Daphnia pulex: one gene and its partner. The protein of the gene in region 1 purifies or fractionates together with the protein of each later gene. This does not show direct contact. Links are inferred from orthologs where the notes say so. Each region holds a gene or a part of one and is shown on either strand. Other genes may lie near its edges.

What was found.
Region 2: the proteins of chromatin target of PRMT1 protein-like (region 1) and enhancer of rudimentary homolog purify together in Homo sapiens (affinity purification with mass spectrometry; 3 studies listed by BioGRID and IntAct, with this or other methods). This does not show direct contact. The link is inferred for Daphnia pulex from reciprocal best matches to the Homo sapiens genes CHTOP and ERH.

Annotation. Positions count from the first base shown.
Region 1 is NC_060027.1:3,847,335-3,851,287, forward strand, and holds chromatin target of PRMT1 protein-like, read right to left. Parts: upstream 2,430-3,953; 5' UTR 2,274-2,429; coding exon 2,218-2,273; intron 2,050-2,217; coding exon 1,881-2,049; intron 1,819-1,880; coding exon 1,144-1,818; 3' UTR 689-1,143; downstream 1-688. Other genes in the region: protein timeless-like, read left to right, coding at 1-137, 207-562; tRNA selenocysteine 1-associated protein 1-like, read right to left, coding at 2,722-3,179, 3,242-3,406, 3,474-3,624, 3,691-3,888. UniProt on the Homo sapiens protein: Plays an important role in the ligand-dependent activation of estrogen receptor target genes. May play a role in the silencing of fetal globin genes.
Region 2 is NC_060018.1:8,869,605-8,872,313, forward strand, and holds enhancer of rudimentary homolog, read right to left. Parts: upstream 1,451-2,709; 5' UTR 1,350-1,450; coding exon 1,347-1,349; intron 1,268-1,346; coding exon 1,059-1,267; intron 916-1,058; coding exon 816-915; 3' UTR 702-815; downstream 1-701. Other genes in the region: probable ATP-dependent RNA helicase DDX28, read right to left, coding at 56-229; transmembrane protein 267-like, read left to right, coding at 1,889-2,185, 2,248-2,586. UniProt on the Homo sapiens protein: May have a role in the cell cycle.

The DNA of each region.
Region 1 (3,953 bases):
TGAATTTTCCAATCAAGACGATTGGCGTTCGATGGAATTTGAAAGTCTCACTAGCCAAACTTTTAACAACGACGATGACGAGTTTGAAAATCTCCGAACCGATTTTGAGTCGCTACTTATTCTACTCAAAGGCGATGGTAAGTCTTATTATTTTTTTATAACACCCCATCTTGTTTAAGCTATATCTAATGTATCGATAAATATAGGATTTCAGAAACAACTCGATTGGATTCAGTCGTCTTTATTGACGGCCTGTGCAGCACGTTTGGGCATTTACTCCGACCACGAATTCCGTCATCCAATTACCTGTTTGAGCTTGAAATTGAATACGCCATGCCCGATAGTCCCTTGGACGGAAGCGGAAGCCTCCGCATTGAGTTCGAAACCCTTTCGCTTTTTTCTGCGTCAACTGGGTCTTTTCCCTTCGCTTCCTAACGCTGGCACCTATCCAAGGATCCCACTCGAATGGTCACCAGACACTCTGTACAATGTTGCTCTTTCGTTGGGTTCCGTTGCCCATCAGCAAGTTGATTTCGACTTGAGTTGTGTAGGAAAATTGTAGCTTATCCATTTAATTTAGCTTCGATCGGTCCCGCTTGATTACTGCTGGCCAATCATTAGAGTAATTTGTTGTAATTTTGTCTATGATCAGCGACGATTAAATGAAGGAACAAAAATCAAATTAGTGTTGAGGTTAATCATTTGTATTTTTTGGGATGAGTTTCTCTTTCTCGTTTCACAGGCACACCTTTTCACACTCAAGTCCTCGGATGAAATATGAATGAATTATAAAAAGATACATGTGCTAAGTGCGCCGTAACAGGAGGGAAAAGCAAGAAACACACGGCAAAAAGGGACTCCAAAAACTGGGGGAAAGTACAAGAACCATTTAATCAAGTGCTAGAATGAAATCAAGACAAGGTTGTCCAAAATCTCTTTTTTCTGTCTAGACTCTTCACAACAGTCCAACCATTTTCTCAAAGACAAATTCTGAATTGGATTCACTTTTAACTTTAAGGACTAAAACATTGTTAATAGTCAATCAAGACTTGGCGAAGGGGAGTTATTAGTAAGAAGGTTCTTTCGTTTGAAGTTGGGGAGCAGCACAGGTGAGGTAACGACTGGAGAAAGATTATTGCATATTTAATTCATTTCAACGTCCCCAATTTTAGACATGTAGGATTCAATATCATTGTCTAGAGCGCTACGAGTCTTTTGCATGTACTGATCCAATTGCTTGTCCAAATCTTCTTTGCTGACCTTGGTAGAGCCACCTCGACCACGCCCTCGACCACGTCCGGATGTCTGACCGCGCGGAGATGTCGGCAAGCTGCTTCCTCCACGACTGGGTCCCTTACCACCACGTTGGCCTCGTCCTCTTCCTCTTCCACGCTGGATACGACTTTCAGCTTGCCCGGTAATCAATGAAGATGTCATCTGCCCTCGACCACCTCGTCTTCCTCTCACGCTGCCTCTAGCACGCGAAGGTTTGGTCGGCGAACGATTGGTTGTGGCAGCAACGGGGGCTGGCTTTTTCGATGGAGAAATGATTCTTCCGCGAGTGCTTCTCTTGTTTCCTTGTCCACCGCCACGAACGATTGTTTGGCTGACAATGGGCTTCAGTCCGCCCCGGCCTCGAATTATCTTTGTTGGGGTGACCGTTTGCCCTTGCGTTCGACTTCCTCGCAGAGATCCTCGCGACTGACTCCCGCGACCAGCTCCACGATTGGTTGTGAGTCTCCTTTGAGTTTGGGTGGCCGTTCCGCGAAATCGAGTACTGGTGTTTACTGTGGCTCCAAGGCGTTGTTTGATGCTTTTCTGAATAACAGTATAAATGATGTAAGTATATCTGGTTATGAATTAAAAACGAGGAATTGCACCTTTTTCAGTTTCAAAGCAGCACTGACTGATGCATTTCGTCTTTCCATCTGTTGAGCTAGTCTGCTATTCTTGCTTGATGCCTTTTGAAGATTAGCTGCATTATTTCTAGCCCCTTGCAGTTTTCCAGCCAATTTCTGACCCCCTGCTGAGCTTCGTAATTTGGAGAATCTGTAACGAAAAATTTTCATGCGTTAAAAATCAGCAAATGAGAAGAAAATCAACACATACTTTATAAAAGCAAGGAAATTCAATGTTTAACAGGGGGAAAATTGCGGCAAACAACTATTTCAATCGCATATACGACATAACAAACCCAAATTGCCTAATGATTTATACCTTTCATGTAAGGATAAGGAAGTTGAATTATTTGGTACTCTGCCTCCTGAAGCCATTTTGTGCTAGAATACTGCTGAACCAAAGTTCAATTACGGTCAAGAAAATGCCGAAAACAGATAATTTCGAGCTATCTAGAAATGTTTCTCGTGAAGTCAATGAAAACAATTGCTGATGTTTGCCCGGCTGTGAACTAATGACGCTCAACTTTTTTCGACTGCTATTGGGTAGTAAAGTGACACCTAGCGGAAAAAAGAAAGTATGTCGTGATTTACGATTGAGTAAGAGTGCATGTTTTAAAAAATGTGGGTGGAGGAAATGTTTTATGGGTGTAGAATCATGTCAATAATTAAATATACTAGATAATACAGAAAGTGAAAGAATTGGAAATCTGTATTTATTTGAAATCAATGTATTCATTCTGTAAAACAAAATCAGATGACAAGCAGAAATGAATCTTTGTTTTTTTATCGTATGAGATGGTCAATAGTGTTTTATAAAAAGAAATTAGGCGGCCACTACTGTAGGAGTACTGCTTCCGTTTTCCTCAGCTTTAACTGCCGGAACGGCTTTCTCTGGATTGAATGTTGTCCAGCGAGCTTCATCTAGTGCATCCCACAAATCCTGATTGCGCTCAAAAAGTTCTCTGTTCAGTTTCTCAATATCGACGGGTGTATTGTGTTCTATGAGCTCAAACTCATCTTCTTCAGGTTGAGCAGGCATTTGCCCAGCAACGCCATATCCGGCATAAGCTTGTTGACCATCATAGCCGTATCCGCCTTGGTAACCATATCCTTGCCAGCCACCGTACTGTTGCCAATAGGCTGGATCGACGTACTGTCCGTAGCCAGCTGCTGCAGCAGCAGCTTGAGGTTGAACTGGCTGGCCGCTGGCTGCGGCCTGGACAATTGACGAAGCAATCGATGCAGTTAACGTAGAAGTAGAAGATGTACTGGATGAGGATCCTAAAAGTTAAAAGAGTATGAAATGAAATGTACTCCAAAGAAAAGTTTAAGCGTGCATTTACCAGGTATCATGTTGTAATTACGAGGAATAGCCAATGAAACTCTAAGTGGGTTGCTGCCGAGTCCTCTGTGACCTTGCATATGTGTCAGCGCATCTTTGTAATCACTTTCATTAGAAAAATTAACAAACGCATAGCCGCGACTTTCTCCATTGCTGCCTCTGACCACTAAACATAAAATACGAGAAGTTCAGATAATTGCCAATAAAATCATTACAGAAATTTTACAAATTACCCTTTGCCAATTGAACTGAGTTATATTTTGCAGAAAAACATTTGTAAAGGCCATAGTCATCTACATCAGCACTCAAATCTCCCACCCACAGTGCATGATCGGCTGTAGAACCTTTAGTGTTTGTGCTGTGATTTAACTTGAAACGGCTTGGCTAAAAGTGGGAAAACAGATAATATAACTAATATAAATTATGGTAAATTAAAAGTTAATACACTACCGGCTGACTGTATGGAATGATTTTGCCATTCAATTTGTGTAGAACTTCCATTGCTTGCTTTTCATCTCGAAACTGACAAAATCCAAAACCAGCAGGTAATCCAGTGTGCTTATTTCTCATGACTTTGATGGCTTCAGGTTTTTCTCCCATTAATTCAAAAGATCGCATAAGAAATTCCTCTGTCATGTAAGGTTCTAACTAAAATATAAACAGTAAACACATTAGAGGATTCCATTCGACACGAGACTTGCATTGAGCCGGCA
Region 2 (2,709 bases), on another chromosome or scaffold:
AATAAATTAAATCAAAGTGAACAAATTCATAACATTTTTAAATTTGTGAACCAACCTTGAGATTTCCTTTGTAAGATTTATTCAATTTATCCTGTTCTTGTCTTTCGTTTAAATCTTTTACCATTTTTTTGTGCCATTTTCTTGGCATTGTGATTGTCTCTGGTTTTGAAACTGTCGATATTGCACGACTAAATAATTTCAGCGACTTCATTACGAGAAATCGTTCCATGTTGAATTGGTTGCTTCTTATAGGAAGTAAATTAAACTTGCTCAATTTTATACCTATAAATAAGCTGGATGCACGATGCACACATGTACAGCACACACCATTGCAGCCGACACAACAGATGTTTCATTACTCTCTTTAAGCTTTCTAGATGGTCTTCCATGTAAGTTTCACTGTTTCTAGAGAATTATTTCATGGACATCCCCTTTAAATGATCTCTGCCTAAGTAATAAAGTTCAACAAAACATCATCATACAAATAAAAAAAACAATTAACATATTTATTTACTTGTACTTGGTAGGATTTGCGACATTCATTTATTTAGACCCTTAGACTGAATGACGAAAATGACGTCCGAATGACGCATATCCGTGCCTTAGGCCTTAGCTTAATATTATAAAATGTGATAAAAGAGGTTTAACCTGTTTCAAAACAAGTTGGAGAAATAAAATTAATCATTGCAATTTCCAACACATTTACAGTTTTAAGATTGTTCTGCCTCTTTGTCAGAAACATTTTATTGAACGTCACAATTTCGGGGTTAAGAGAAAAACAGAAGTATAAACGGAAAGATGAATGAAATTTCCCATTAAGGAGCTTTAGCTGCTTGACGTCTCAACAAAATGTAGATTTTTTCTTTAATCCAGTCCTTATTGTATGGAGCATAAGTATTGCTGATCTTCTGGTACCTGAAATAAAAATAAACATGGAATTAGTTCCCTTTAAGAATTTAAATCAATGAAATGAAATAAATAATTGAAAATTATATTTTTTTAAGGGTTAATCATTAATTCAAAAGGTGTCTTTTCAATAATATAAAATGAGCCCTTACACTAGGCAGGAGAGATCGGTCAACTGATCAATGAAGTCAAACAATTGGCTGATATCATATGTGATGCTAGGAGTGTTTGGATTCAGTCTTTTTAAATGCTCTTCGTAGATTTTACAAACACCTTCCATACATTCGTTTACTGATTCATAATCAGAATACGTTCTCGTCTCCGGCTTGGGTCCGGGCTGGACTAGTAAGATCGTGTGAGACTAAAAATGTGGTATAGGAAAAATACATTAACTTATCAATTCCAACAGCAGGAAGCGTTTTTGTTTCAAATTAACTAACCATTTTTGTTTCTGTCTTGGAACGTTGTTTTAAAATCTTTAAATTCGCATCCAGGTTTGTTTTCTCGGAAAACTTTCAGTGCAGTTTTTTGGAGAAGCCTATTGTTAAAACGTTGCATAATTTCAAAATAGATGCAATCGCGCAATGAAGTCAGAAACAAATAAAAAGATATAAAGTCAGAAATCGTTAATATCTAACTTCCAAAAATTTAATTAAAATAATTACAATTTTTAAAGAAGTTTAAATTGACATGTATCAAAATTATTTTACGAATAAAATAAAGATAGTATAATTTAGCCTTTAGGGGCAATATGGCAACTTCCCGTCTTTTCAAAACAAACCAGCAAAACAAATATAATATACCGTCTCTAACCATTATTAATAAAGAAAAATTAAATCGGGAAATCGTAAACAGAAGTGCCCAATTTGCTTTGCTATCTGTATATATTATGCCTTAAAGTGAGACGTAATTTTTGTTTAAACTTAATTGATATGGCAACCAGTTTTCCATAAGAATTCCGTTAAATTTTGTGTCGGGAAAAATGAAGAGTAAAATGAAGAAAATGAAGCATTATAAAAGGATTAACCTTTTTGTAATACCAGTTACAGCTATAGCTGGGGATACTATCACCCAGTACATGTACCCCTACATATCGTTACTACTTAAATGCATAACTGATAGTGCCACTCATTTCCTTATAGCATCACTTTCGTGGAATTATGTAGACAATGTGTCATTCAATAAAAGAATTAATTTTGTTGCCATTATTATATGTGGATCAATGGCTTCTGCAATTGATATTGATCATTTTTTGGCTGTTGGAACTACCAGTCTTGAAGTAAATATTCATACAAATTCCAGTTTAAGTTTTTTAATCTGAGTAAATCCCATTTTCTACAGGAAGCTACATCTCTGCCTCACAGACCAGTTTTACATTGCACAAGTCTGTTTACAGTTGTTGCTCTACTATTGGCCTTACTTTCCATCAGAATTCATTCCATCTGTCTTCTCAAAATGTCTGTAATTATTGTTACTGCTACTTGGACTCATCATTGGAGGGATGGATACAGACATGGAATTTGGATCTGCCCAATTGGTTCCACTCCACCTTATTCATACTTTGTTTACCTCATCGGCCTTATAGTTTTGCCTATAGGTTTGCAATTTGGCTTGAAGTTTATCACTGACATAGTCACAAAATCGAACGTAAAACACGTAGCACCGATATTTTTAATATAAATTTCAGCTTCCCCATTTACTGATCTTGATAAGTTAATGCAGAATGTCTTGTTTTTGTGTTTCTCTTCTACTACAGCACTTAGTGGTTACAGTTAATAAGCAAAAAATATAAATTTATTATCT